4 linked regions of the Arabidopsis thaliana genome follow. The protein of the gene in region 3 interacts with the protein of the main gene of each other region in a pairwise test. Each region holds a gene or a part of one and is shown on either strand. Other genes may lie near its edges.

Region 1 (8,176 bases), on a different chromosome or scaffold from region 3:
AAATCATATTTTTTTTTTTTTTTTTTTTTTTTATATTGAAATCATATTTATTTTTAGAAGAGTTGTTTGTTTGTTTTTGAATTTATTTCCTTTTGTATTTCGCAAATTGTTTTTTTTTTGAAAAAGTTGCAAATTTGAGAATAGTTTTTTAAAAGAATATTTGTTTATGGTTTTTGTAGTATATAAAAAAACATTTTTCTAAGCTTTGCGTAGGGCATTCGCAACTGTCGGACCGGCACGACGGCACTGATGATGATGACACGTAAGTCTCGATCAAGAAATCGAATTCTGAACACTTCCCAACATTAAACCCGTAACACACCAAGCACGTTATCGTCAGTATCAAACGGTACAAAACCCTAAGTTTCTCCATCGATACTTTGTAATCTCTCAAACCGTTTTCTAGTTAAGTGTCGGAAACAAGGACCTCTACTCTTGTTATATAATCGTCCATGGCTTACCTAAACAATCACCATTATTTCTATTTTTATTATTATTATCAATCACCATTATTTTGATAAATGTACACGTGTATTTCAAGACATTATTCAATCTTCCTTTCAAATAAGTTAGAGATATAGACTAGTCCTTGGTTCGGTTCTAGAATCGAACCATTCGGTTCCAATTATTTTGGTTCTGAGATTTAGGAACTATATTGGAACCAAACAAAGATCGGTTCGGTTCCGGTTCGGATCCTACTCGATTCGGTTTGGTTCGGATATTAACCAATAGAACCGAGAAGGAATCAATTTATTTTGGGTATTTTTGAAACCGAAACAAAACAATAAAAGATAATGCAAAACTCATAAGCAATTATCCAAGTATGCAATAAAACATCACATATTAGTCATCATACGATTACAAATCCAATAAGAGGCTTGTCTTTGCCTCTTAGGTTTGCAATGAATCGAGGAGTTTTTATCTTCGTCTTTGAGAAAGAGAGAACTAGGGTTTCTCAAATATTAGGTTACGGATGAGAGTGAAAGAGAGAGCAGAGGTTAGTAAGAGAAATAGATGGTGAGCTTATGGATTGGATCAAGGGTTGTTATGTTTAGTTAAGTAGATTAATATGAGTTATAAAAGAAATATGAGTTAATGGGCTATCATTATAAAAAATATATTGACTAATGGGCTTTAATTTTTAGGTACCCGAATAGGTATTGGTTCCTACCCGAACCAAACCTATACCCATGGATCATTGAATCAAGATCTGATCACTCTTTTCAATAGAACCCGAACCGAACCATATCCATTAATTTCGGGTTGGTTCGGTTCGGTTCCATTCGGTTCCATATTTGTGCCCAGAACTAATATAGACTATAGAGTCACCACATCATAGCCATTATTATTCTTAGCTGTTTTTGTCTTTTTCTCTATCTTCCCCAACTCTTGGTCATGACACTTAACACGTGTTTCACTAAACATCTTTCTTTTCACAAAAACAAACAAACTAAACACGTCTCTCTTCTCTTTTTTCTTTAATCTTCCCCAAATGATTAGTTTCACTACATTACCACTGTAGGCTATTCTGAACAACCACGTGTACATATATATATATATATATATATATAAATATATTTCTCAATCACTCTGAGCCATTTTTAACATAATTAATTATATCATATGTTAATAAGAAGTAGGTTGCAAAAGAAAAAACTAATAAAAAGTAAAACCAAATGTTTTTATATTTTTAATGTGTCAAAAATCCTAGCCGATATATATACAGTATTTATAACGAAAGAGTGATTAGGAACTAGATTATACTGTTAAATGAGTTTAATTTGTTTTAAGTGACATATTCTAATTGGTTAGAAAAAGATGGGGTGAATAAAAGGATTCACCTTTAAACTCAAAAAGTTTATGTTTCCTTGCTTTGGAACTGATTGAAGGATATATTCTACAAATGCAATGCACAAACTCGACCGTTTCCTGTTTCTCAATCGTTTTGAGGATCTCAACAGTCAACACTAACGTAATCAGGAGCGTAATCATCGATTTCAAAAGTTTACAAACATCAATATCAGAGAGTAACAAAGGAGATCGATACTAAAAAGGAATTAAGGGGAAAATAAAAAGATCGATACTATCAAAAAGTAACACGATACTTTCTTTAGGTAAATGATAGTAAACCTTCGATGTCGTATCAGTAAACCTTCGATGTCTCACACACAATGCCACAACTCTTTCAAGGCGTTTATCACGTACTCCTAATGAAAGGGAAAAAAAGAAAAGAAAGGAAAATGATTTTGTGGACTAGGACATGTTTCTTTCGCGCATTAAAGATTCAATCTTTTCGACATCATCGGGTGTGTCAACTCCATGAGCTTCATGATCTACCTTTATAACCTGTACACAACCAAACATTTAGACCTTAGTGCCTACTCTCTATATTCTCTACGAAAAGACTCATTTCTTTTGGTAGGATGATATACTGACAGGCGATACTTTTACATTACCTTCATTTTGTAGCCATTCTCAAGAACTTTGAGCTGTTCTAGATCCTCTTCTTGCTGCAATGGCGTTGGTTGAAGCTCTGAATATACCTTCAGAAACTTCGAATCAAAGCTCTGAGGATAAAAACATAACCGAGATTAGATCATGACAACAAAAAAAGAAAAGCAAACAGAAATTGGTTGCTCAGTACCTGAATTCCAAGATGAAGCATGTACGGAAAATCTGGATTGACTTTACCACTCCTAAACCGCAAAAGCATATCAATAATGAACATTACAAACAGATCAATATGAACGTATGAGGATGAATAAGATATTCATATAACCAATACACACAAGAAAAAGAAAAAGAAAAGAGAAATTACTTGTTATAAGGAATCAAACCCCTTGAGAAATAGATAGCATAGCCACGATTGTCCACCACACATTTAACTCGGTTAGGATCAAGCCCGTCTTCTGGTTTCAATGATGTCACCGCTGTGCTAAACACTGCATCCGGTGTTACCTAGAAACCACAACCATAGGAACACTATTCAACAGCATTCGAAAGACTTCTAAGTAGTAGGATCATAATCCACGATGAAACATATAAGACATCATCTCACTGAGCAGTTTACGAGACCTGAAGTGCTTTGACTACACCGTCTATAATCTCAGGCTCAATAAGTGGTTCATCTCCTTGAATGTTAACAACGACATCATACTTCTTCTCCAGCTTTTCTAGCGCTTCGTTGCACCTCTCAGTGCCTAAACATCACCCAAATGATACAGAGCTTAAGCCAGAGGCTCTATATCCCACCAAATAAAAAACCAAAATTATGAAGAAAACAGTAAAGAAACCATTTCTGCAAGACTCTGAAGTCATGATAACATCGGCACCAAATCCACGACAACACTCCGCGATTCTTTCATCATCAGTGGCTACAACTGATAAATTAATAACACACAGAAATCAGACATCTTGTAATCTGAATAATCACAAGTTGAAAGAAAGAATCAAAACCAAAGGCAAAGTTCATAGAAGAGATCTTAGATGCATAAAGTAGAGATTTTTCATATATAAAGATTATGAGACAACATTACCAATATGATCAAGCGTAGTAGCTAACTTCGACCTCTCCCAAGTTCTCTGCTCAAGAACGAACCAACAAAAATGAGAAACACAAAATATATAGTTACAAAAGATTCAAACTTTATCTAACACCAGATTGAGAGTTAACGAAAGTAGAAAACTTTTTAACAAAAATAAACTTGAATGTGTGATCTGAAAACTTAAAGGCAGTGCACAAAAATTCGACTAAAATTTGCCAAACTAAGCCAGATCCGACACAGCGATATTACAGAGAATAAACAGAGATACTGAAAAGAGACAACTATGGAGGAACCTGGATCATGGGTTTGCCGAGGATTTGCACGAGAGGCTTACCCTCGAATCGAGAGGAAGCGTAACGTGCGGGAATGATTCCGACGACCCGGCTCCGGAATTTCTTGGATCGACCCAGATAAGCACGTGCGCCGATTGCGGCTGCAATCGCTGTTCCGGCCAAGATCCCGTTAACAATCCATGTTTTCTGAGAAGAAGAAGACGAAGAACACACCGACATCACTTTGCTCCGGTGAGTGAGTGAGAGAGTGAGACAGAGAAAAAGACAGATTGTTCTGTTGAAAAGCGGTGGCCGAGCCAGCGAGAACAGAACCGGTTTGGACCGGTTTAATTAGACTTTATGACCAATTTAATTCCTTACAAAGGTCAATTTGCTGAATAACTTAATTATGGAATCTAATTGGATTAATAACACTTTTTGCGTAAATAATATTTTGTCAAAAATAAAGTGAAAATATTTTCAGACACAAAGGAAAAGAATAACAACATATATGTATCAGTGTTAAAAAACAACAACATATATGTATCCTTTTATTATTTTGGTCATATGTATCACCATTAAGAAAATATTACCTTTTAAATATAAAATGAAAAATTTTCAAATCACCAAAGAAATTTTGACCAAATCCACAACATAATTTATATTTTTTTAAAAAACATGTAGGACTTTTGTGTGCAAATAACAGATCAAATGGAATGGAACTCTTTCTAACGATTTAGGATAATTTTGAGAGAAAAAAATCAGAAAACTTTAGATATGAATTTGAAACCAAACCCTAAACTTAGAATACACACAAATCCTTCCTCACTGCCTTATCCTAAACAACAAGCTATCATGACTAAAAATATATAGCTGTTTAAATCTTTAGGTTGTCACCTGAAAATCACCATTTTGGACAAAACCCTTGGAACTTGTTTCTTGTAAGAATCAACATGAGCTCAGAAGAAGATGATGCGATTAGTCTCATCAGCGTTCTTGGTCTCGCTGTTTTCATCGGTCTCTGCATCTTGCTCGTTGTTCTCATTGCAACCTCAGCTCTCATTCTTGTAATCTACGTCATCATCGATTGCATTCTGCGACCATTCTTAGGAACATGTCTCGACCTAGATCTCGAAATCGGAGTACAAAGAGGCCAACAACGTGCTAGAATCGTTACCTACCACACAATCATCTCGACCGGTCTACGGTTACCAGATTTCGAGAGAGAAGGAAAAAAGCGCGGGCTGAAACAAAGCGTGATCGAAACCCTACTACCGAAGTTGCTTGTTGGACAAGGCAACCATGAGGAGGATGAAGAAAAGTCACTAGAATCAAGAGAATGCGCGATTTGTCTCAGTGGTTATGTCGTTAATGAAGAATGCAGAGTATTTCCTGTTTGCAGACATATCTATCATGCGCTTTGTATCGACGCTTGGCTTAAGAATCATCTCACATGTCCTACTTGTCGTAAAGATCTACCAGAATCATGACAAGTCCCTAGCTTTGTTGCGTAAGCTGTACATAGATATTTTGTCTCTTCTTCAAGAGATATCTATTTAATTGAAACCAATTTGCCAATGAAACCTATCATTGATTCACCTTATAATTTGGTTTGCATATGGGAGGTTTCGTCAGAAACAGAACACTAATGTCCTATTTTCTCATAAATTGCAGAGGAATAGTAATGTCATTAAATCTATGATTTTTGCCATATCTTTCCCCGCTAACCCGGTTTGGAGAAAAGTTTTCGAGAAAACCAGCAATTCATTCGAAACCAAACCTAAGTAAAACAGATGTCATTACAAAATTTCAGAAGTAGGAAAGAGTGCAAGGAACCAGAAAGAAATGTTTTGATCGATTTCCTATCAATTGTTTTGTAGAAAAGCTATCTTCTACCAATTCCCTATAAATTATTTCTCACGATTTTTCTATAAAATTAATTAAATTGGTTTTAATATAAATATTAATTGCAAAAATTAAATTCAAAATTATGAATAGTAATTAATTAATTATTTATTAACATGAATAATCTATATCTCTTACTAATAAAAGTAGTTGTTTTAGGTCTCTCAAGCAAAATGAAAATTATGTAAGAGGATGCCACACCTACACCTAGCCAGGTCACCTAAAACATAGAGAAAGAAATCGTCTCTTCGCATATGAAAACGTTCGGCCACAAACTTTCCCTGAATCCATCATCTCCCACGATGCCTCAAACTCTTTGATTTCAAACTTATCTCAACTCATATGACTTCCGTTTTAACCCATATCAGGTTACTTTTGGATTAAATTTAAATTTCAGTACATGTTGTTTGAAGCTCCTCTCATCTAATATTATGAGAGAAGCTCCTCTTATATGATCTGAAGTTCACTCGATTCTTTTATAAGAAATTCAAACATTATAAATATTTAAACTTTATACTACTGATAAAATCATATATTGACGATCTTTGGATCAATAATAATACAGAATAATATATTACGGGTAAAATTCTAAAATTAAGAATCAAAAATATAATTATACAATCTTAAATACTAAACAAAACATACAATATTAACAAAACTTATACAACAGATGCATCTCGCAAACAATATTAACAAAACATATACAACAGATGCATCTCGATTCTTTTATAAGAAGTTTAAATATTATAAATATTTAAACTTTATACAACAGATGAAATATTAGAATTGACGGGTTTGAGTGAATATTAATACGGGATGGTATACTACGGGTGAAATCCTAAAATTAACAATTAAAATACAATTACACAATTTTAAACATTAAACAATTTAAACAATATTAGCAAAACAAATACAACTTAAAATTTTAAATATTTAGTTATAAAATATCGTCTTGCGGTGTACCATAAATTTGATATCATATATCCATAGATCATCCTAAAAAAATATTCAAAATTTATATTTAAATAATATTTGACAGTTTGGCTGGTTTGGCAGCTTTGGCTCACCTCGATAATCTGCTTCTCCTAAGGTTTGTTTTATTGCTCTGGGTCTCTTTGTTAGCATTGCTCTCAGATGGTTTTGGTTTTCGTTTTGGTTTCGCTCTAAATTAACGAATTCATCAACCAATGTCTTCATAAAGCTAGCTACATCGGTCCTAAACTTCTTGGAGCCGCTCTGGCTAGTTTGTTCACGTTCTTGGACTCAGTCTCTGCCTTTAACCATTGATCCAACAAGAGCTCCATTTTTATAAGCATTGCACGCTTTCACTATGTGGTGAGACCGGACGAGGAAATGGCTACGAACAAACTCTTTGAAATGCTGTTCATTCATCACAACAACAGTCGTTAATTAAAGTGCTGCATTTTCATCACTATTTTAAACCAAATTTTGACTAATTATTTTACCTTTGGTTGTTATCTCATGCTGTAAACCATAGTCTTTAACGACAATAAGAATATGTCCTCATTGTAAAAAAAACTCTATAAATACCTTTATATATTCTTTCAATATTATTCATACAATTCACATTGGTATATCAAAACTTCATGCATCGATGAAAAACCTAATTCGTTTTTCTCTTTTCCTCGCTTCGGGCTACCTTGAGCCTCGGCAACTTCGTTTCTTTTCATCGGTGACGAGGATCATACACTATCATTCTATCAACTCAGGTAACGATTGATGGTGTCTCCCCACACAGTAAATCCACTTCTTGCTTCATGGACACGACAGTATCGTATGTTGTGTACTTTTTGCAAAAGAAATATTTCCAGTTTGGTTGTGACTTAGAGTTTCTTGGTGACTTGGTAAAAACCAGGTTATGGCATTAGGCTCGACAGAATTGGATACACATGATTTAGACAGCCACTCGTGTAGTCGTGTACTGATGGAACAAATGACTCCAACCGACTTGAGATTAATTGTGTCAAAAATCGGTTAAACCATCCATTAAAGCTATGGAAATGATAGCATCGTCCAAAGGTCGTGGACGTGGAAACCATGGACTTGGGAACCGAGGTGGACATTGCTAACTCTAATTTAGTACCAAAGAATCTCTAGCTTTGTAAATCAGAAAAGAATAATGTGAACCCACCAATTATCAAAACCATTTGTCCTTTGAAAACCGAATGTCAATTATAAAACCACTTTTCTAAACCGGAAAAACTATTGTCATTCATATATCAAAAATAGTAAAAAGAAAAAGGCTAAAATTTTGTCTTCGATCTACTACTCCATGTTAGGTCCTTAGTCACCACCAAGTCTTCTTTCTCGTATCTTCAACTTGATACTACTGAAAACGCAGCGTCCAATATTTGCTAGAAATTCTTTGATGCTATACCAAAATGCCAAAAAAACAACAATTATCATAAAATGATAAAATCCTAAGTTAAAACT
Region 2 (8,557 bases), on a different chromosome or scaffold from region 3:
CGAAGTTCTCAGTATATTGGTCTAATTAATATTTGACATGAAGGTATATATTTGATTCTTATATTCGGTTGTTCAATCAAAGCGCGGATGAAAAAAATATGATGTTAGCATTCGAGATTTTTATAATTAGACGTATACATAAGGAACGGAATTGAGAACCTAATCTGGTCTAATAGTATATAATTAATTAGTAGGTCCCGTGGTTAGCTAATAATCACTTTGACCCTTGTGTTTACTACTTTAGTACCTGAATAGTATACTAATTTGTTTGGCCTAAAAACAGATAATCATGAATAAATGCCAAAATTAGGTTAAAATATAGTACATCGAAATGAAAAAAAAAAGGTAATGTTAGGCATGGTCCAAGAGATGAGGGTTCATACATTATCATTGACCGATTCTGAATTTAATTTAGTGGAATATAATCTTAATCAACTAAAGGTGATCGTGACTCTAGATCTCAAATCTTTATTAACGGGACAAGGTCGATGATCTCATGTCCAAAGAGGAATTTTGTGCCAATGAAGTTAGGCCACCTCTTTTATGAAAGGGAAAGAAGGAACATTGGATGGCGTATAAATAAAAATCATGAGGGAGTGACGGTATCATGGAGCCATCTTAAATATAATCATACAATTGATTCGGAAAAAGTATATATGGACATGAGAGTCAAAATCTTATTAAAAATCCAATATAGTAACATAGAAATAAAGTAGATTCGGAAGGCAGTTCGAGATGGCATCAAGAAAAATCTGATGGGTTTGTGTTGCGTTGTACGTTGCACGCAAGAGGACACGTAGAGATATGTAATTAGCTTATCAACTTACAACTATAATTTACACAAACAATCTCATTATTTAATTAACCAAGGCTTAATAATTAGTCCATATATATTTATACATTCATGAATGTGGACGAAACTGATGACTGATGTTGAGACTTGAGAGTTAGGTTTGATTCTTTAACATTCGATATCTCATCTTCCATTTTTCGTTATTACATATTTTGTTGCAAGGAAAACACGATATACCGTATAGAGTTGATGTAGCTAAAGTTTTAATTCAACAATGTAATCTTGATCATTAAAGTATAGATGATTTTAGTGGTTCTACTTGACGTCCCTACAGATAGTAAATGCAATTATCAAAAACATGTCATAGTTACTAAAAGAAGAAGGATGCACAAATACAATCTTTTTGGGTTGGATCAGATCAAATTATATTTGGCTTAAAGACATTGATTACTACGTATATATTAAACAAATGAATAAAATTGACTACCTTTGCTCTCACCCTCACCTGCTGATTCTATACCTAATTAATTATATAATACGATAGCCAACAGTTTCAACATAAAACCACCATCGAAACATACTACTGATATAATATGCATATGGGACAAATGAAAAATGAAAAATATAACGGATGAATAACGAAAAATGAAAAATATCATTAATGATATAATATGCATATGGGACAAAGCAATCTTATCCGTTACGGACTATATAACATATCATTTCTTAATCATATATTATATACGTATATATATAATCGTATATCATCAGTAATATATTTGTTGTAAGAAAAACACATACTGTATATACATGACCAAAAACATTTCGCTTTATGCATTGATGTAAAAAAATTAAAACTATACATAAACACATCAAAAATTACAGACACTTAACAGATGTACCATGTTTTTTTAAGAATCAATAGTTACAAAATTTGAGAAAAAGGTGATATTTTGTCATTTCGTTGGATATGAAGGAACCAATGATAAAACATCGTTAGTTACTAATTCAAACAACAAAAAAAAGAACCCCGAATTTAAATGCTCACCATCGACAAACCTTGGCTATTTATTTTATAAATATAAGACAAGTACTAAATCCTATCAACACTAAACAATAAAATCGAACATGTTCACCCAATTATAATCTGACAGCTGAAGAAGATAAGGAAATACTAAATATAGAGAGGTTCGATGACAGAGAGAAAAAGGTAGACTGAATCACCATCAAAACCACGCCCAAGAACCCTAATTGGGGAAAGTGGCCAAATGAATTCTCGCCACGTGTGGATCTGATGGTGTCAGAGTCGGTAAAGTTTAAAAAAGGTAATGTGTGATGTCTCGATAAGGGCTTTTAAACTGGTCGTTTTGTCTGGGACACTTGTACAGTTTTGGAAAGGAGGACCCATGACTAGGGCATTCTTTAGTTAATTTTAAACTTGATAAATCAGTATTTCGTTTCTATATATTTGTTTATGAAATTCTGTATCATTAGAGAAATCAGATGATGTGGCAATCATTATCTGTTCTCTTTAATCGACCAAAGGTTCGAACAAAATATCATTGTTGGTTATCTGATATAGAGAAAACTAATTTAGAAACCTCGTTTTGAAAAATTCCAACTACAATATGAGATTTGATTCTACAGGAGTTTGGAATATGGGAAAGGGAATTTACAAAAGTGATTGTTGAAACATTACCGATTGTTAAATGGTAATAGACAGCTGAAGCTGCACAATGACATATGGTAAGGAGCTGGGAGCAAAAGACTAAGGACCGAAACGATGCAGATCATCTCGCAAAAGAAGCTTTTCCTCATATTGATCACTGTTGTGTGTTGTGTAATATCCTTTCTGTTTATGGCCTCGTCAAAGGTAATGCTGATTCTAGTTTATTCGTTATTGAAATGAACTTGATTTAGCTTAGCTGTTTACAGAAGTTAAAAAGAAAGGAGGACAAAGGGTTATAGTGTTGAAGACAAACTTATTTTAGCTTCTTTCTATATAGCTTTTTATCCCAAATCCCTTAATTCTCGGATTAACATGAAAAAAACCACTGCCATACCTCCTATGTCCACAGAAACTCATCATGAATCATCTTTTTCTCACTGCCAACAGACCAAATACGAGCACCTCAAAGACAAAGGGACGTCGAACAACAAACCAACATTGATAACAGAGCGTGGTAAATAAGTAATCAAAATAAACTTACTGATGTCAACTTCCATTCTCACGTTTGTGATAAACTCTTTGCGTTTACCTCGTGAATAAAAACAATGCACAGAAGAAATATGAGGACATAAACAATAACCATCCCAACCCAATTACTAGAGAGAGAAAGTGAATACTGAGATCTCTTCCATTAAAGCATGTGAGTCAATAGTGTGTACAACTCTTGATAGCAATAACATTAGGGTCCTAACGAAAAGAGAGAAACACACCTTTCAGTTTTACGGACCACTCATATTTACACATGAATCCGAATAAATGGTACACTAGAATGCCCTGAATCTCCAGGCAACAAAGCAACGCAACTGAGTTAAGAATAGATGAAAGCAAGTCTTTTGAGTAAAAAGGAAAATACCAAAATACGACCAGTCGACTTCCCTGTGTATTTGTTGACATCCTCTCGTCCAAATGATAGCACGTTTTTTCTCAGTTACCGCTTTGGAGGATATGTCGGCATGAAATCTTTGGATTTTGGTAACGGGACTTCATGGAACCAACCATGGTTGAGAGCATCTTCCACTGTTAGACGTTTCTCAGGGTCCAAAGTTAGTAGACTGTTCAGCAAATCAAATCCACGTTCAGAAAGAATTTGACCACCTACAAATGAAATAGCTGGAAACTTCTTACGTAACATATTGTAAGGCTGTGTAGGAAACTTGGCTTTAGCATTCGGAAATGATGAGAACCCAGGCCATATTGCTTCGTTTGGTGTTCCAAGGACCGCAAAGATCTTCTGAAGTTGGTCAAGCTCACTCTTACCCGGGAACAAAGGCTTTTGAGACAACAGTTCAGCCATAATGCAACCCACTGACCACATATCAACTGCTGTAGAGTACTCTTTTGCTCCTAGAAGAAGTTCAGGTGGCCTGTACCACTGGGTAATAACCATCTGGGTGTAAGGCTTGATAGGGCTCCCATACTGGCGCGCCATCCCAAAATCACATATTTTTAACTCCCCACAATTGTTCATCAGAAGATTAGATGGCTTCAGATCCCTGTGGATAATCCAATTTGTGTGGAGGTATTTCAAACCATCCAACAGCTGCATCATCAAGCACTTGACTTCGCTAGTGCTAAAAGGTTCCTTCCTTCTATCCATTACTCCCCTCAGGTCGTGTTCTAAGTGTTCCATGACCATATAAACATCATTATCGTTTTTCCCTCCAACCACAACCTCCTTCACGTTCACAATCGCAGGGTGATTGCATGACAAAAGTATGTTAATTTCCCTCAATGATGTCAAAGGGAATCCATACTCTTCTTCGAACCTATCTTCCTTCATCTTGATCTTTTTGAGCGCAACAATCTCTTTTGTTTTCTCATCCCTTGCTTTGTAAACAATTCCATATGTTCCTTCATTTATCTTGTTTAGCTTCTGAAATTCATTCACAGACCTGCTCCCAAACATCATGTTCATCTCTCCCGGAGTTAAAGAATCTTGATCTTCATGTTCTAACTCATCATGATCAGAACTATAATACTCACGACCAGAATTTCCATCTGCACTAAGCTTCTCTACGCTGAGATGTCCACTGCCAGATCCAGACGAATAGCACTGCTGTTCTTCAGACACCATTACTTCCTCGCACTCCGGTGTCAAACTGCTCCTGTTCCATCTATTAGTCTTGGAAACGTTAACAGATATTAACTCCTCCTTTGGGGAAGTCAAACCTGTCCCCCACCTAGATGTCTTTATATTTGGTTCCTGCATCACTTGTTCTTCCTCCAACAGACCCTCCTTTACATCCTCCTGCATCACCTGTTCTTCCTCCAACTGACCCTCCTCCAAATCATCAACAGGATGTTTCACAGCCAGCAGGGCTTCTGAAGGCTGCACTGGAGCAAGATAACTAGGTTCTGGCGACATCAAGGCATTCACTTGATCGTTTGAAGTAGTCTTACCAGCAACAGCCTGATTGGATATCACAGTTGTAGTCGGAACAGGGAAAGGAGACTTGGTCTTCTCCCTAGATGGAGCTCTACCCACTTTTTCTGCATTCCACACGATGGGTGAAAACTTCCTCCTTTTCTCAGAGGGTCTCTGAACCTCTGCTTCCTCCCGTAGTTCCCCTTTCTCATATGCCAACCGTGATCGGTGACGCCCATCATTCCTCCTGAGATCATGGTCACTAGGCCTTTTGATTTGACGCCTCTCGTCATCTCTACCACTCTGTCGAACATACACATCACGAGAACCATTCCTGTAAAAGTCGTAGTCTTTTTTGACAGCAACGGAACTTCTGGAAACATCAACACCCCCTGCTGCCATCGTATTCTTCTCAATGAGAAATTGATCTTATAGAAATAAAAAAGGATAAAACAAACAAACCCCTCGAAAAAAACCAATCAACGAAACCCAGAATCAAATCACGAGAAGCAGATTTCAATAGATGTTCAATTACTTTTCAACAATTGAACTAGAAAGACGATCAATCAACCAATTAAGAAAAACACCCTTGACGAAATCAGAATCAGAATAATTCAGAAAAAAACGAAACCCTAGAAATTCAATTTCCAGGAACGCGATAATTTTTCTCCTTCCTCTTCTCCGATTCACAAGTACCGGAAGGTCTTACCGGACGGTGAATACGAAAACGGAAGATTGGATGGAGGAGGAGATCGATCTACGAGCCCGATGCGATCGCGAGAAGCTTTTCTCTAAATTTTCCTCTCGGAGACGCGTTTTTCAATTTTGTCAAGTGGCTCTATTATTACTTTACCCTTTGTTTTATAATCGTAATAGGTCGGCTGCTCCAATAATTCCCTTTTCTATTTCACAGATTTATCTAATGTTTGCGGGTGTACCAAAAGAACGTGAGCTACGTATTACAGCCGTTGGATCTAATTAATGAACACGAAACTAGTCGTTTATTGTTTGGACGGTGACGGTGACGAATGACGATGCTATAAATAATAATACTCACGTTGTTAATCGAACGGTCAATATTACATTAAATCTTGTGTAGTAAGAATGTAAGCTACATTTCGTCTGAACCGGTAATTAGATCCCATTTTCACTGAAAACCGACACAATAATATATGAACCAGCCGGTTATCTCAAAGTTTTGATGCATTGCCATCCACAGCGATTTTAGTAAGCTCCCGACGCAGAATCTTGCCAGCAGGATTTTTTGGGATTGCATTTATAAAAGCAACTCGTCTTACCTTCTTGTACGGAGTAACCTACACACAAATAGTTACATAAGCAAACCAAAACATCAAATCTAATTGTTCTGTCTACTTGTACTAAAAATTAATATAACCAACATTCTAGAGCAATGAGCATTACTTGTTTAGCTACGAAATCAATGATTTGCGCTTCGTTGAGATTGCTTCCTGGTTTTCTCACTATGAAAGCCATTGGAATCTCTCCTGCATCCTCGTCAGGGAACCTTGAATTCATGATCCATGTCAGTATCAGAAACACATTTCAAGAAGTTACAAATTTGAGTTTAAAAGACTCACGGAACAACTGCAGCATCAATCACATCTGGATTCGAGTGAAGAATCTGCTCCAACTCTACCGGTGGAACCTATAAGATGACGCTTTTGATTAATATTAAACTCTAAAGACTATATCTTCTTCTTCTGACTCGTAAAATTTACCTGATAAGCCTTGTATTTGATTAGCTCCTTTAGCCGATCAACAATATATAGAAAATCTTCCGAATCAAAATAACAGAGATCACCAGTCTTTAACCACCCTTCTTTGTCTACTGTCTCCGCACTCGCTTTCTCGTTTCCCACATAACCTGTGCCCATTAATCACAGGTTTATAGTCACATCAATGATCAAAATCTTGATGAAGACATTAGACTTCAAGGATCATGAAATCCGACTGAGTCCTAGATTTCTTCTTATATGCTAAGTCATTTAGTGAAAGCTCTTGAATGTTCCTCAAACTATTGCATTTGTTACACAGTCCTAGATTCTTCTATGCAAAGTCACAAGTCTCGATTTAATTTGACACAGTCCTAGATTCTTATATGCAAAGTCACATTAATGGTCAAAGTCTTGATATAATTTGACAGTCCTAGATTCTTATATGCAAAGTCATTTAGTTTACACCAGCTCAGCACATTGCATGTTCCTCAACTATTGCATATGTTTTATGATACCTTTCATGATGACTGGTCCTCGGAGCCAGAGTTCACCAGTTTTTCCCGGTGGCAAGGATTCTCCGGTGGATGGATCAACAATTTTGGCTTCCATATTCTCAGAGATACGACCAACTGAGCCATATTTTACCATCTCTTCAGGTCCAAACGTTGAGGCAGCTGGTCCCGAGCTCTCTGTCAAGCCATAGCCCTGTAAGCCATCACCAAACCAGAAAGTTAAAAGTCATATAAATGATTCAAAATCTTGATGAAAACCAAGTATCATGAAACTGGACACAGTCCTATATACAAAGTCATATTTTGACACTAACTGTCTTATCAGTTATTACCTGTACAATATCTACATCTGGGAATTTCTGCTTAAACCTCTCTGCGATGTCTTTGCCGAGTGGAGCTCCTCCGCAGCCAAGGGAACGCAACGACCGGAGATCGTACTTCTTCGTGAGCTCCGATTTGACCAACGCTACAATCAACGGAGGAGATACAGGCATACCAGTAACCTTATATTTCTCCACCGCCTTAAACATCGCCTCGAGTTCAAATCTCCCTAAAAGCACCAATGTCTCTCCAAGCGAGATGGCTCGAATCATCATCATGAAACCAAACACGTGGAAGAGCGGAAGCGAGAACAGTCCAACGCGATCGTAATTAACCGGATCTTGGAGAGTCCGTTGGTGAGATACGGCGGTCGAGGCGATTAGGTTACGGTGAGTGAGCAAAACGCCTTTGACCCGCCCGGTTGTTCCAGAGGAAAAGAGGATAGCGGCAGGGTCCGATTGGTTGACCTGAACCTGAAATGGATTAACCGATGAAGAATCCGATCGATTTAACCAGGAGAGAAACTCAGTCGAGTCCATCAGAACAGTTCCGAGAGGCAAAGAAGAGGATTGAAGCTTCTTAACCGTCTGCGATGTCGCGAACGCAATTACTGGTTCACTGACTTCGACTTGATGACTCACCTCCGATTCAGATCCGATTGGGTTCGCCGGTGAAACAACAACACCGATCGACATCAAAGCTAAGTAAAGCACTGGTATGTCCAACGAAGAAGGAGAGAGGATAAAAGCGACATTTCTGGAGGCAAGAGAAGGAAATCGCTCCCGGAGAGATACAGCAAGAGAACGAACTCTACGAAGAAGCTCTCCATAAGTGAGGTTATCACCAGAGCTCGAGTTAACTAGGTAGGTTAAGGCTTCAATGTTTTTCCCGGCGGTGGCAGGTGGTGAGGATTTGAGTAGGAGAGAAAGCGCGAATTCGGCGGCGGAGAGAGGTTGATCTATAGGAGGTAGAGAAAGAGAGGGACGAAGACTGTGATAGATTCCTGTCCGTTGATCGAAGCCGGAGCTCCGGTCAATCAAACGGCTGTCGTTGGTTTTCGTCAGCATTCTGGAAGACGATTAGAGATACAGTAATCTTTTC
Region 3 (7,221 bases):
AACTGCATTCCCAGGTTCTGAGAGTTTTTGGTAATCATTCTTTTGGGGTTGACAATCAGCATCCTTCCCCAACGGTTCAGAAGAAGTAGACTCAAGTGCAGATTTCAAGGTTCCATTGACAGCTGCACCAAGGATTTTATTTTTGTCAACCAATTCGTGTTTTCTAGCTACACCACGCTCTTCGTCGCTCTGCTTTGAGAAGATTTCAACACTATCTTGGGCTATCATCTGAGAAGGTTCCTGAGTAAGCTCTTTCTCACCACTTCTTCTTGAAAGGAACTCTTTAGCCTCTTTTACAGACCGTATGACCCGTGACTTACGACCAGTGCTATTCTTCATCATACTTAACTGATCCTTAGAGACATCAGAAGATTGGATGACTCCGTCTGTAGGAACTGGTGGTACCACATTACTCACCTTTTCTTTGTCAGATGCTGCCATTTCATGATTCAGAAAACCAAAATCTACCATAGCCCCATTCAACATCGGAACAGCAAAACCAGAAAGTTCAGTGTTCTCACTGTCAGTCGAAGTTCCCAAGCGTTCATCTTTATCATCATCACCTTCACTGTGTGTCAAAGCCTCATGTGGAAGACTCTTCTGTGACTGAATGCTTATATCTTCCTCATTGTCGCCTGTTTCTTTGTTCACATCGAGCTTCTGCTTTTCATTAAGTTCTATGCCAGCTTCTATCTCCCGTGCTCGTCTAGCCATTGCTTTGATTTCATGGATCTTATCAACAAAGTCCAGCTCAACATGAGGAGAATTCACGAGTTCCAGTTTCTTCTCTGAACCCTTAACTTTAGAAATACTAGTCATAAGTTCATTTCGATCAAACTTAGGCTTCTCAAATGACATCAATGGCTTTTCCAAACCCTCCTTGTGCAAAACTTCCACGGTACCTTTCTCCGACATATCCCTTTCCTGCCAAGCTTTCATCTTTCTCCTCATCATCTCCTTCTCCAACTCTGTACACTCAACCTCATTACTCTTCCTATACACAAGCACCGTCTTCAGCAACCAGAGTCCAATGTAACCACACAAAACAGCTCTTCCAATCGCCGGCAACTTTGGAATTAAGTCAAGACGAAGAATTGCGTTTTGGACTGAGCTAACGAGACGAAACTCTTCCTCTGAAGAAGAAGAAGAAGAAACGAACTTGACAAGAGAACTCTCCTTATGGATCACATGTTCCCCATTCTCCATTTGTTCAGCTAATTTCTTCGCATATACAAGCTTAGAACTCACTGATTCCAAATCCCCAAGAGCTGATCTTCTTCTACTCAAGACCTCGTCTTCATCAACCTCTACTTTCTCTACGTTTCCAACAGAATCCTGATAGACAGTGAAAATGGGATTCGAACCAATACCCCAAAACTCTGCTTCCTTGTTATACCGAGCAACCCAATCTTCAAGCTCATTCAGCAAATTTGAATCTTGAGCAACCCTATCTTTCAATCCCTCGGTGCTACTTAAATCATCACAGTGACCAAACTTATGGCTTTCGTTTAGAGGTTTCGTACCTGGTTCAGAAGATTTCGGAGTCGAACGCCAATACTCATCACCGATGATCTTCTTCCTCAGCGAATTACGTCGCCTCGAGGTCTCTCCGAACCGAGCCGAGACTCGGAGAATTGAAACGCGATAGTAGTGGAATTTGGAGATGGGCAAGTTGAATCGACGTTGGTTAGCGAGTCTCCTGTTCGAATTGGACGAGAAAGACGAGAAATTGAAGAAACCATCATTGGAGTTTAGTAGAACCTCCATTGATGGAAACCAAAGGGATAAAGCTCACTTCCGAGTGAGAAAACCCCCAAAAGCTGGGTTTAACAGAACAATGATGAAACGTCGTCGTTTCTTAAACAAAGCTAACGCCTTTGAACAACACTACAGTTGAAAAAAGGTTCAACATTTTACATTTTCCAGATATAAAGCTCATCACTTCCAAGTTCCAAAAGCTGGGTTTAACAGAACAATGATGAAACGTCGTCGTTTCGTGGACACAACACAAGCATTACATAAATTTATGAACACTACAGTTGATAAAAGTAAAAGGTTCAACATTTTACGTTTTTCCTCCAGATATAGCAGAATTGTAATGAACTATATATTTTATAATAAAAAAACCTCCATGACATGAGAAAGACAGAGAGAGATACATAAGAACAACCCCAAGTTTATCGTCAGAGAAAACCCTAATTACAGATAACCATGGTTACAGAGACAAGGCCAAATCGGTGAGGTTTTCAAAATCAGTTTGATTTTTTTTTTTTAATTTTCAAGACAAGTTTGGGATACAAGCTCCTCCACCTTCACCACTTTGTTGTTGCTCTTTCCATATCCTTCCAGTGACTCGAAGTTTCAGCTCTTTCCTATCTCCACCTGAGAAGAAGAGAGCCATGTTTCTTTGTATAATTAGTCCATCATGACTGTCTCTAACTTTCCTGTGGCTGTCTCTTACGCTTCTTGGTGTTCCTTCCCATATCAGCTTCCGACCATAACCTCCCACTTCTAAACTGTAATTGTAGTTTCGAGCTTCTGTCTCGTCCCCCATGAAACGCAGGAACGCCATGTAGACTGGAGCCATTCCGAGCTGGAATGCCTCAAAGTGAAGACAGAAGTATTGACCGAAGCAGTGAAAGACCTGATTTTCATTTTTGAACCAGAAACAAAACCAAAACAGAGGAAACCTTGATAAGCATTAAAGTATATCAAGTCAACATGTATAGCGAGATGGAAGATTCACAATTCACAACCATAGATTAGATAAATAACTGGACCTTCTCTAGGAAAGCTAACTCGCAACAAAAGCAAAATTTGACTCAGCTGATCACATTACAGTTTATACCAGACAGATCAAATTTTATCACAAATATAATCCTATTACTTTAAACAAAGCCTCCTAACTTATCTAAGTGTATACTATGAAGCACGATTCATATGTACTTACAGTTAACATCCATGTGGCGTTTTCGACTTCACGAGGATTAGACTTGACATAACGATGGTTGAAAGTACACCCAGAATGCATATCCACCTTATGATCATCCCTCAGATGAGCAACTAAGAAAGGGATATCGCCCGTAACAGAACACTCGGATCCAGCATAAGGGCAGCTATAAGGTCTGAAGTTACATACAGTCTCATGTTTGAGCTTACTGTAATAAGGGAAGATTTCAGGACATCCAAGTGACATGTGTTTACAAGGTAGTTCAAGTGATTCGGCTACTTTTTCCAGTGCCAAACAACGGATATCACCGAGCTCTTGTCTACAAGTTGGGCAGCGGTTGTGAACCCTGGCTTTACAGGTTGAACACAACGTATGTCCATTGTGACACTGTAGGGAAATCAAATAATTGTCTATCTGTTATTCCATAATTCTCTAAAGAAACAATAAGAAGAATCTTAGAAACTATCAAAGCTATTGACAAAATTTAGTGACAATTGTTTCAATTGTAGCCATTAGTGAATGGATAAAACTAAATTTCAAGTTACAAGAGCAACACAACCACTGCTTCAACATCCATGATTCACATCATTAACTCAAAACCCTAAACAAAATCAACAAATTAAAGATCCGGGGAAACGAAATCAGAGAACAAGGGATTGAAAAGAAAGACCTGATGAATGGGAGGGTACATAGAATTGGTGCAGACAGGACATTCGAGAAGCTCATGAACACTGGTGGTGGTAGGGAGAAGCCCAGAAGCAGCAGCATTAACGTTGGTGGTGTTGTTATTAGTATGATGATGCTTGGAAACAGAAGCGTAGGAATGGCGATCTTGGTGGATCTCTTCATCATCTGTCACATCCATGGTTGATGTACAGTCCATGCTATCCAAATCCATTGAAGAAAGGTGGAGACTTTGATTGATCTTCGATCGAAACGAAAGATCAAAATCCGGAATTGAAGAAACACCACCGAAACAGGTCAACCCTCGTGAAGTGTTGTTAATTTTCAAAAACAAAAAAGATAGATGCTCTTCTTCATCAATTCTCTAGAGAGAGAGAGAGAGATAGTTGCCGTCAAATGAACCGGAAACGCTGATTTAAGATCGGACGGTCACAAAGGCGGCTGTGTTAAAGAGAGAATGTTATTTGGAAACAAATTGAATTATAAGAGATTCAGAAGAATTTACTGGATAGGGGAAAAATAATCATATTCTAATAATATACGTACAGTATATCCTCTCTCACTCAATGATTTCTTTGTTTTTAATTAAAGGGCCATGATCCAGTAGAGATGGGCCTAAATATGTACATGGTGCACATGATTGCTTCTTTTTTTTTATTCTAGATGTTTTTCTCTCTAGTGGGATTCTGTCTATCATTATTGTGTGTTCTTTTTTTACTTTTAATTCAAACAATTTCTTTTCCTTTGTACAAGAAAAATGATTTTCAACTTCTAAAATGACAGCTAAATTCAAAGATTCATGAAAAACATGCTCATCTTTCTGTTTACTTTAACAAAAACTTTAAGAGATGTATTTAGGTAAAATTAGACGGTTTAAGAATATGAAATTCATAAGAGGAATAATAAGTAATGGGATGTGGCTTGGGTTCAAAGTCACTTCAAAGACCAATGATAATGTAAATGAACATTTTACTCTTCTTCATCTCAAGCAAACTCTCACAATCTTAAAAGCAAATTATTCAATTAATAATTGCTTCTCATCAGTGATCGGTCTCATGAGTGATATCATCCTTAAACACACCACATAAAAGAAAAAGAAAAAAGCGAACAACAACGATCCATCCAGCTTCAATGATCTGTCGTTGCTTTTTAACAGAACATGTCAATTGTACTATTATCTTTCTGTTGGGTTTTGTGACTTTTGTCTGAGAAAAATATAAAGCTTCAAAGAATCTGGGACTTGACTTAAGAACTGTTTTCACAGCTACAAGAGATCACAAGCGGATCTGATTATTCATTCATCAAATATTCTTTAGCTTTTTACTCCTATTTGCATCAAACAATCAAATTTAAGGCACTACTGGATCAAAACTAGAAAGATTTTAGTTATTTGTTACCACTGGTTAGCCGATGTATCCCGGCACTTTTCATCATTGCCCTGAGCCAACTGCTGTGGATTAGTACCTTTTACTCGATTACTAAACAGTCTCTGGGATATTCTATCTTTAGCCGTTGTTTTCTTACGCCTTGTGGAAAAGGTTTGCTTCTTGTTTTTCTTTTCAGCAAAAACTCTATCAAACTCATCATCCATAGCATTCGATCTAGAAGTTGAGGCTATTGCCGCACCACGCAGAACTTCATGATTGTGTTCCTTAACCTTAACCTTAACAAGCTTTGCTCTTTTCCTCACCACTTCTTTGTCTTTCTCCCGGATATTCTTCAGAGCCTCTTTCGCTATTTGCCTAGCTAACTGATTAGGATCAGAATCTGAAGTTGTTTCATCCATAGACACATCCTGGTTGGTCCCTGAAGTTGAAGAAGTTTGGTTTTCACTCTCATCTAATGGAGATTCCTGGATTATGGTGTTTCCTTCATCATCCCGGGGTACAATGGGTCCGTGAAACGGACAGACTCTGAGATCTCTTCTCTGGCAAAGACCACCTTTCTTTAGAGAAGCACGGCATGGAGGTGTCTCTGTTCTCTCTTCTCTATACACGGTTGCCTGAAGATTCAATTCTGCTATTTTATCTGCTGGAATTATAGCATCTTGATCCACCCTGCCCCAGTGGCTCTCGATCTCTAAACCCCGGTAATTAGCTCGAACTTCCGTAGTTGATTCCCAATTAGTCAACTGTGATCCCCAATTCATCACAGGCGCTTCAGAAATTAGCTTGTCTCTAAGAGAGTTTCCACTGCTTCCAACTTTTTTAGTGTTCGACACTTTATTGGACCTAGCTTCTGATGTAGACTTCTTTGCTTCACCTGATGATGGTAAAGATGAATTCTCACTCTGCTGAGTTCTCATCACATGAGCCACGTTCTTGACTGAATCAGTTTTAACCTTGCCATCATCCTCCTCCCAGATATCTTCTTCTTCCTCGTTTGTTTCTTCATTACCGTGAATATCAGTCATTCTTGACATTGTAAAACCAGCTTCTTCCCATTTCTTTTTAGCTGCCAATATGTTATTCCTGATATCAATCAAGTCCTTCAACATGGAATCTCTCGTTCTGTTATCACTTACGTCAACCCTAATGAGAAGAGAGATCCCTTCTTGAACCGAGATCAGATGCTTTGTCACTAGAAGCTTGCACTGTTCCCTCAACACATCAAATACAATTCTGTTTTCACCAGTTTCTTCAACCTTTTCTGATTGTTTCAGTGAATCAAGACGAATTTGCCTCAGATGAGAACAACGGATCTCCTCAAAATCTTCCTCATCTAAGATCGCAAGTGGAACACCATCATCCCCTCTCCACTGAACAATTTCCATACACTCCTTGATTTCCTTTATCGTTACCTCAATCTCATACTTGAAGAGTCCAAAACTAACTCTCAAGGAATCAAACTTGTTCCGCAAAATCTCTTTTGTCTTCATCTCCCTCTCCTGTCTCTCTCGTTGAATCCGTGCAGCATTAGCCTGTAAATCAGGGAACTTTAACTTGAGGGTATTCTTAAGGTAATCAAACCCAAGTCTAAGCTCCTTGTAATGAAACCCAAAAGACAAATTCCACTTCTCCAAGAACTCAATAGCCTTTGAACGCAACGTAGTGGCAACAGCAGGTGGTGCAGGAAGAGGCAGATTGCTTCTAAACCCAATACTTAAACTCAAAAGCTGATCAAGATTCTCAATTATCAAAGTTCTAAAGAGCTTTGATCTCATGAATAGCTCGTCGATTATGAAAAGCGTCAGATATCGAACCTGTCAAAGAAAATTATCACCGCGTTATTTGACCAACAAACCTGATCAATCAACATTGACTAGTCCTTAAAAGAGCAAGTTTCAATGAATTGAACGGATCAGAAATTGTTCAAATAATGTGAAAAAAACCTGAGAGTGGTTATGTCTCATGAGCTCCATTAGGGTTTGCGAACTAAGTCGGACCTCCGAATCAGAATAGCGAACAATGGATTTGATCGCCTTGAGAAGCCTCGGGTCAACCTCTTGAGCAGTTGATTTCGTCGCTTTCTCTATCAACCCAATAACTTTCCCTCCGCCGTCATCTCTTCCTTCCATCGCCGGCAATCAGAAATTCAGATTTTCTTCTCCTTTCTAATTTCCGAAGAAGACGATATAAAAAGAAAAC
Region 4 (7,827 bases), about 13 Mb from region 3:
ACACAGAACCAACTAACATTTTAACCACACTTCAGTACTTATCCTGTTGTGATCTTTGTACTAGACCAAAGCCAACTCCCTTCTCATTGGTATAACATGGTATTATTGAAAATTCATACTCAACAGAAACAATATAAGAAGGTCATGGTCTCATGGAGACAGACATGAGACATGCATGAAAGAAGAGAAAGAAGAGAAAGAGAGAATGATCAAGCAGCTTTGAGAAACTTCAAGGTCTCGTCGATGTGTTTCTCAGGCTGGAACTGGTTGTTGTAGATGAGCTGAACAACACCGTTTTTGTCAAGAACGTAAGTCTGTCTCCCTGGCAATGCTCCAAACAGGTCTCCAGGCACTCCCCAATCTTTTCTCACCTTATTCCCTTCGTCGCTTAACAATGTATACGGTAGTTTGTATTTGCTTGCAAACGCCTGCAACAATGTTTAAAGTCCCACCACTCTCTTTAAAATCCGGAAAAAAGAAATGGGTTTATTCAAGAAACCAGAGATTTTTGATGTGTGTACCTTGTGAGAAGCAGAGTCATCTCCACTAATGCCAATGACCTCTGCACCAGCTTTCTTGAATTTCTCATAAGAGTCTCTGAAAGCACAAGCCTGTTGTACACAAGTAAAACCATTTACGTTTAGAAACACTAAATATGCGATCAATGAATGCGGGAAGGAGGAGAAAGTAAAGATTTAACAACCTGCTTGGTGCAGCCAGGGGTTTCATCTGCAGGGTAGAAGTAGAGAACAACAGGCTTCCCTTTATACTTTTTGAGGCTCACCGGCTTTCCGTTTTGATCCTTTAGTGTGAAGTCTGGTGCAGCCTGACCCTTGTTAACCTGCTGCCCACCAAACATCACAAAGAGACCAATTCACAGAAGGTTAAAGAGAGTTCATATGCCGTGTCAGCTTAAATCATATGAATAAAGGATTGAACATATTCAAGAACATTCTAGCATTTGCTTATTTTCAGGTATGTGAAAGTTTATGGTCTCTAAAACAAACACTGATTACAAGTTTCTTTGATTTTGTCTTTGATTCTGCACTAACACATTCATAAATCTGTTCTTATAACATTTAAATTCAGACTTAAAACCCAATATTTACATCTTTTGTTTCTTATTCAAAAATGGCTGTGTATCTAACAATCTATTGTCTTGCTAATATTTATATCGTAATACTCAAAAACATATAAAAAAGAAATGGAACAGAACTTAGATTGTCCAAAAAACATTGGTCTAACAAAGAAGCTAATTCCCAGAACTAGTTGTTACCCAACTGTAGCAAACAATCTATCAATGCAAGAGTCGAGAAATGTACCTTGGCAAAGATTAAGCCTTTGAGAGAAGAGGAAGAGACTGGGGAGATATACGATGAGTGAGTGAGTGTGGAGCCAAAGAAGTTAGATTCTGATGATTTTGTGGGAACTGAAAATTGGGTTTTGGTGACAAGGGTCTTTCTCAGAGGGAGAGTACGAAGTGTGGTGTGATTACAGAGAGTGAAAGAGGAAGATGAAGCAGCCATTTTTTTTCTTTTCCTCTACAAGGACGTGATTAGAGCATGTAGTAGAAGAAAAGCTGAAGATATGGAAACATCACACAATCACAGTCCACAGAGATAAGATTTTTTCTCTCACCTCTGAAACGAGAGGCCCACACCACAACAACACAACATCACAACATCATACCAAAACGTCGTCGTTTAAAACAAATGTAAAACAGAAAGCTTTGCCATGTTCCTGTCTATACTAATTCAAGAAAGAAACACAATGAGAAATTGAAAAGTAGACATAATTCTTTATTTCAAATCTCTATGTATACAAATGATACAAGATTGATACTACAGAACTATTGAGTACATAGTTACTTTGAAGAGTAAGTAGACTTGAGTTCTATCTATTCTACACAGCTCCTTAAAAGCTTGTGGTTACACAATCTGAATCAAGGGCTAGTCACCTAAACCATAAGCTTGAGATGAGATTACTAGCTGAAGGGACAAAACTTTCGGAATCTTCAAAGTGAAAAGTCGAATCTTTACGATGATCTAGAGACTTGAAGAAGAGGAATCGATTGATCTGGTTTGTCTCTGGTTAGTTCTGAAGAATATTAGGAGACATATTTTCTTGAGTTCTTTTTGTTGTCTGCTGTTTGGAGGAGGGATGGATCTTGCTGCTTTTGTGCTTCTCCATGACTACTTTTTTGGTGTTGATGATCTTCATTGAGGAAGCTTTATGAGGAGTTTGATGAGGTTTTTTTATGTTCTCTTTTCCTGGAGTTTGGTTCCTGCGGAATCTTGGTGAAGTCAGGGTCATCGGTGTTACCTGCACATGATTATAATGTCATACATCAAAGATTCAATACCCAAATTTATGACAAGTTACAGTCTGAGAGTTGAATATACCTGAAAACCACCAACTTGTGGGTTCTTGTGTTCTTCAGATGCTAAGTTAGTGTTTTGATTTGCCTTGAAGCCGCAAGAAAATTTATCCTCTTTCTCTTTCTTGTTTTTTTCCTCTACTTTCTTGAAGAACTAACAGACAAGACACATCCACAACAAAAGAGATCTTTTTTAAACTACGGCTCTATAAGTCCTCAAATAATCTCAAAGATAAAGTAAAAGGATCTTCTTTAGTTCTACCTCTTTCCTCTTCTCTGCCCTTTCATCACTTCTGAAGACGAAGGGAGAAGATACAGTCAAAGACTTTGCTTTGGTTCTGCTATGAGTTGACAGATTTTCACAGCTGCAAAATGCATTAGACAAAAACATCTCGTCTTATGTCCACATAAATCAGGGAACTAACACAAACACTTTCAATTAACCAACTCAGGCCATTTGCAGTAAGTGACATAAGATAGTATTTCTCTAAGAGGTTGGTACTTAAACCGCTTACCCGACAGAAGGTTTTCTTTGCTCATTGTTGGATATTCTACATGAAACTGAACTCCTTACAGATATGTTTTTCCTGTATATCAGAAGAAGCAAAGTTAATTATAGGGTTGAGTTAATAATAAAGTAATAGTATAAAGCGATGAATTGGTGTTGAAGATGGTTTGATCAGTAACCTTTTGTTTTCTGATAGCAGATTACTGAGAAGAGGAAGTCTGGGTAACGTGACAGCAGAGGCCTGCAATATATGTAAGAGTCAGTCTCAGCAAATATGCTTGGGATATACGCAAGAAGAGAAACTTGGGAAGAGAATTACATTGGTTGAACCGTCTTTGGATGTCTGAGACAATGGTCTCTTGCAGCTTTTTAAAGCTCCCGTTGGTTCGTTTATCTTTGGGAAAAGTTTGTTTCTAGCATTTGTTGAAGTTGTTCCCTGTGTAGTGGAGTTTCTTGCCAGTGTTTTTGGGGCTTCTTTGGTCGTACGAAGAGTAGAAGAAGCAAAATTGAGTGACATGTGAACTGAACTTGGACCTGATCTCTTCTTCTTGTCTGCTTTCACTGCACTCCTAGAACCGTTCTGGGGCCTCCCCACAATAGTTTTCTCGGTATTACTAGAAGAAACACAGCTGATTGACATGTGAATGGGCTCAGGAGGTGATCTACTTCGGTTCTTCGATGCACTAAGTGACCTTGTACTACTCGAGGATGACTCTTTTTTAGTGTTCTTAAGTGAATGATCCAGTTCTATAACAACGGAAGATTCCAGTTTTGAGCTTGAGACCTTCGATCCGGAAGAACTAGGAGGTCTTTCTTTGCTCAAAGAAGTAGAATTGCCCTGAAAACACCATGGACGTTTAGAGAGAAAAAATAAAAACAGGAAATTGCAATGTAACAGAAATGCATTTACCTCATCAGGAACAACCACTGACTTCAAGTTCTCCACTTTACCAGTTTCATCTATTACAGAAATTGATGGAACAACAGAGTCCACCTCATTACTAGACACCTCTCTATTCACCGCTAGTGGTACTTCTGAATCAACGAGAATATCCTTAGGTATATCACAAACAATCTCAACACTATCTTTAACCTTTACTTGTTCAATCTTCTTCGTCTGTGTTGCTGCTTTCCCTGAAGCTCGGTTCTTGAAATGAGCTTCAAAGAAAGCTTTCTTCTCTGCTACAGAACCAGGTTTAGTAAACCTCTCAACCTCTTCCAAGTAACGATTCTGAGTAAAAGCTGACCATCTCGCCCACGCTAGTGTTTCATTCGCATATCTACCAAACGATACTGATTCCGTAAGCACTCGATTCGGTACCACCTGCCAAAAACCAAAAACCAAATCTCAAATTCTCTTCAGATTCATCAAACAACACACTATACACAGAAATTTCACTAGCAAAATCAATCTCTATTATCAAAACCCTAAATCCAAGATTGTAGATTTAGAAATCTTAAGCACTAACCTCGTTGATTTCACGCGATGAAAACTCTGAAGGTTGCGAGAAAGATCTCACAAGACAAATTGATTCTCCCATTTTTTTTGTTTTCTCTGGAGATCGAAAAACCCTAATTTTATCCCCAAATCTGGTGGTTTCGCTGAGAAACTGAAAACTGAAAAATCTTTGTTAGCTTCTTTTTCTTTGGCTGCAAATCTGAAAGTAGGTCCGAACTCTAAGCATATGATTTAAATTTCCCCAACGGCCACTTCCCTTATTTTTATTACGTCATTTATAGAAAACGTTTCATCTAATTGTGGAATCATTTAATTATTATATATATACTACTGTTTACAGAAATAAAATAATGTATTTACATTTTCTAATCTTCCTTGTTTTGTTTTGAACTATGTTTAGTGTTTTTTTATTATCTAATTGTATATAATTATTACGTATATTTTATAGAATGTTTATTTTATTATTATTTTGAACTATATTTTATTATTACGTATAAGCTATCAATTATCATTATGGTTATTCTTGTTGTCCTCTTTTAAAAATATTAGTTAATAATAATAAACACTAATATTAAACTTTTAGTATTAAGTTATGAGAGTGTGCTCCAAGTTAAATTTTATTTTTAGTGCTTAATTAATATTAATAGAGAGTAATGAAACTGTCTTTATGAAAAAAAAAAATATGACAAAAATTCTTTTTGTTTTTAAATTTAACATGAGATTACTTACAAAAATAACTTCTGAATTTATTAGTATATAATAAAAAGGTGATTCTTCAGGACTATTTATTTATTACATCACCAAATTTTGCCCGTTATTTTAATTTCAACCTTTTTAGTGGCCTCCCAACGGCTAGTCAAAATAGAACCAGTTTTTCAACAAATATATCCGGTTTAGCTCACTAAACCGGTTTTTATAATCAGAGAACATGAAGAAAAGGTTGGATCACACTAGGATTCAGAGAAGCGAATTGGAGCAATTCTCTATCTTGTTCAAAAAGATTCATCTCTTGTTCATTCAGATTCACCCAAGCTTCAATTCCACCAGCTTCTTTCGTGTCGAGAAGCGTCACGATGTTCTTCTGTCTAACCGAAGGAAACCCGACCCAAACCGGTTTTCCCCAACCGAAATCGGTTTCGTATAAACCGAATCGACAAGCACTTGAGAATATGTAGAAATCGAAATCTCCACTTGCAATCATATCTCCTGCTTCTTTCTGGTAGCTACAAATGATCTCTGTGGCATTTGGGTTTCCTACAAGCTTTGGTATATGGATATCTCGAAACCTCTGTTTCGCTTTTCGTATTTTCGAAACCAAAGTTTGAAGCTTTGTTTGGTTTATTCCTTCCTCTGCTTTTGCTGCAAAGTAGCTCACTAGATTCCCTATTGAGTTCTTTGTAAATGGTGGAGAGACTCGTGAGCGTAGACTCACGGAGTTTGCCAGAATTGACGGTTTCGATGTTCCTGAAACTGTTCTTGTAGCTTTCATTGCAGATTTCCATATAAGAGCTGAAACAGCTTCGACTCTTGTTGGTTGATTCACTTCAAAGCTTGAAGCTTTCGCTTGCAGAGCTTGAATACTCGAAGAATCGAATATGAATCTCTTCGAAAGAGTCTGATTCATCATGATCTCTGGCTCAACCACTGGTGCAGGGGAAGTCTCAGAGAAGTTTCCAGGTGGGAAGATCTTAACCGTGTCGAAAACCGGAGCTCCAATGGTTTTGATCGACCCTCGGGACGAGATTGCAGCCCAGCTCTTCATGAATAAACCGATAGAAGTTGCGTCAGCGAGTTTATGAGAGATACAAACTCCTATAGACATGCTTCCACATTCAAAGAAACTCGCTTGAGCAAGAAGCAGTCTGGTTCGTGTCTCTATGGAATCAACAGATGTAGGAATCAGTTGTTGCAAGCTGTCAGAAGAAGGCTCTAGTAGGAGATTCGAAAGCGGTGAATTGACTCGTGCTTCGAGGAAATCAGCGCCTGAGTCATTACAATCGATACTTATGTTGCCTTTGAGCCGTCCAGCGAGAGGGTAGAAATGAGTTAAAGTTTCGGATAACGACTTCTTCAGCATCTGCAATTGCTCAGTTGGTTTGATGCTGTTGTTAGCTGAATAGAAGAAAACCATAGGACCAAAGATCGTTGGACCGAGCTGTTCTAAAAGAGAGAGTTTAAACTTCTTTAAGTGGTTTGGAGTTGGAGATGATGGTTTGATGATATCTCTGGAGACAACATCAACTCTCATCTGGTGAAACCTCCTGACGAAAAACCGACTAAGAGTCATCGCAGAGAGCTTTTCTTCGGTTTCTTGGTTAGAAGAATAAACCTGTTGTAACAGAACCTTTTAACAGACAAAATCCAAAGATACTTGCAGGAAAATGCCAACAGATCCTCTGTATACTAAAGGACGAAATCATTATTCCAGAAACAATTTTTATATTAGAGCAATCTCTTTCACTGATAAACTAAGTGACTTCAGACAATAGAAAATTCGTGTTTTCATAACAAGATGTTTACATGAACCAAGTATACAGACAAATCAAGAACTGAAAAAGGTAAAATCTCACACTGTTTAACTGAATTAAACTAGTCTTAAAGTCGAAACCAGATACTTAAATGAAGCAAGCAAAGCAAAGTAAATGTATATACCTTTCAGGCGTAAAGGAAACAAAACAAAACAATAAACCGATTTCTTGTTGAATCACGTAAAGTGCAGAAAAAACTCTTACTTCGCCATTGAAGCAACAATCTCCTCTAGCTGTCTCCAGGTTTCTCCATTCTTCTTTTTAGTATCTTCTGCTTTTTGCTGATCTTCTTGGAACTTGTGCAAACATTCTTCGAATAAATCAGGATTTGTATCGGACAAAACCTTGAGAACATTCTCTGTCAAGTTCTTCACAGCCTGATTCCAATGGCTGCTACCGTTTTTCTCCAAAGCGGGAAACACTATAGGTAAAATGATTCTACTGTTCTGTCTCACTAAATTAGTGACATGATCGTTGTTCCATAAGTATAAAGCCCGTTCCGCTACCTAAAAACACAGAAGCAGTTGAATTTTATGAACAATTCAAGAATCTAAGAATCAGGTAAATGTACCTAATAAACTCTTAACTGTACCTGAAAGTGAGAACTGCTCAAGCACTGAGCAATTTGGCGAGAGAGCGGAACCATACACCGTTCAAACTCTGTTAATTGAGTTGCTTCTAGTATCTCCTCCAATTCATTCAAGAACATGATTTCTTTAGCGCTATTAGTAACAGGCCAGTACTTCAACATCCCTCTAATAACGGTATCCGCGAGCTTACAATCTTTCTCAACAAACTGTATAACGCAGTAAGAAAGCTGTTGATGGTAATTTGGTAAGCATTTCAGCTTGTGCAGAGGAATCAAGACACGAGTAAGAAAGAGCTTGTGTTCTTCCTTGAGTGGTAAAGCGAATCCATTGATGATGGATCCTAAAACTTCAAGAAACTCGGCGAT

The links.
Region 1: the proteins of AT3G61790 (region 3) and CKS interact in a two-hybrid assay, tested with the Arabidopsis thaliana proteins (one large-scale study listed by BioGRID).
Region 2: the proteins of AT3G61790 (region 3) and AT5G63370 interact in a two-hybrid assay, tested with the Arabidopsis thaliana proteins (one large-scale study listed by BioGRID).
Region 4: the proteins of AT3G61790 (region 3) and AT3G26050 interact in a two-hybrid assay, tested with the Arabidopsis thaliana proteins (one large-scale study listed by BioGRID).

What each region holds. Positions count from the first base shown.
Region 1 is NC_003070.9:19,743,077-19,751,252, forward strand, and holds CKS (Nucleotide-diphospho-sugar transferases superfamily protein), read right to left. Parts: upstream 4,729-8,176; coding exon 4,715-4,728; intron 4,212-4,714; exon of another isoform or gene 4,113-4,211; coding exon 3,839-4,112; intron 3,583-3,838; coding exon 3,537-3,582; intron 3,381-3,536; coding exon 3,294-3,380; intron 3,201-3,293; coding exon 3,076-3,200; intron 2,959-3,075; coding exon 2,819-2,958; intron 2,697-2,818; coding exon 2,645-2,696; intron 2,568-2,644; coding exon 2,457-2,567; intron 2,347-2,456; coding exon 2,254-2,346; 3' UTR 1,916-2,253; downstream 1-1,915. Other genes in the region: AT1G52990 (thioredoxin family protein), read right to left, coding at 234-373; AT1G53010 (RING/U-box superfamily protein), read left to right, coding at 4,771-5,307. UniProt on the Arabidopsis thaliana protein: Catalyzes the production of the sugar nucleotide CMP-3-deoxy-D-manno-octulosonate (CMP-KDO). CTP is the preferred nucleotide donor, but it can partially be replaced with UTP.
Region 2 is NC_003076.8:25,381,504-25,390,060, forward strand, and holds AT5G63370 (Protein kinase superfamily protein), read right to left. Parts: upstream 5,759-8,557; 5' UTR 5,290-5,758; coding exon 3,451-5,289; 3' UTR 2,985-3,450; coding exon of another isoform or gene 2,800-2,984; 3' UTR 2,667-2,799; coding exon of another isoform or gene 2,537-2,666; 3' UTR 2,307-2,536; downstream 1-2,306. Other genes in the region: AT5G63375 (uncharacterized protein), read left to right, coding at 2,537-2,666, 2,800-2,984; AT5G63380 (AMP-dependent synthetase and ligase family protein), read right to left, coding at 6,078-6,203, 6,310-6,412, 6,486-6,553, 6,627-6,772, 7,139-7,328, 7,468-8,523. UniProt on the Arabidopsis thaliana protein: Cyclin-dependent kinase involved in pre-mRNA splicing. Required for the correct splicing of the sixth intron of CALS5 pre-mRNA. May stabilize the binding of U1 snRNP to this rare type of intron with a GC 5'SS.
Region 3 is NC_003074.8:22,869,696-22,876,916, forward strand, and holds AT3G61790 (Protein with RING/U-box and TRAF-like domain), read right to left. Parts: upstream 4,139-7,221; 5' UTR 3,849-4,138; coding exon 3,621-3,848; intron 3,338-3,620; coding exon 2,951-3,337; intron 2,645-2,950; coding exon 2,279-2,644; 3' UTR 2,002-2,278; downstream 1-2,001. Other genes in the region: emb1703 (embryo defective 1703), read right to left, coding at 1-1,767; AT3G61800 (ENTH/VHS protein), read right to left, coding at 5,028-6,836, 6,966-7,151. UniProt on the Arabidopsis thaliana protein: E3 ubiquitin-protein ligase that mediates ubiquitination and subsequent proteasomal degradation of target proteins.
Region 4 is NC_003074.8:9,518,506-9,526,332, reverse strand, and holds AT3G26050 (TPX2 (targeting protein for Xklp2) protein family), read right to left. Parts: upstream 4,597-7,827; 5' UTR 4,427-4,596; coding exon 4,355-4,426; intron 4,210-4,354; coding exon 3,796-4,209; intron 3,724-3,795; coding exon 3,205-3,723; intron 3,127-3,204; coding exon 3,065-3,126; intron 2,965-3,064; coding exon 2,893-2,964; intron 2,743-2,892; coding exon 2,640-2,742; intron 2,532-2,639; coding exon 2,403-2,531; intron 2,323-2,402; coding exon 2,092-2,322; 3' UTR 1,750-2,091; downstream 1-1,749. Other genes in the region: PRXQ (Thioredoxin superfamily protein), read right to left, coding at 210-428, 522-611, 704-844, 1,323-1,526; AT3G26040 (HXXXD-type acyl-transferase family protein), read right to left, coding at 5,264-6,592; ATB' DELTA (serine/threonine protein phosphatase 2A 55 kDa regulatory subunit B prime delta), read right to left, coding at 7,073-7,378, 7,465-7,827.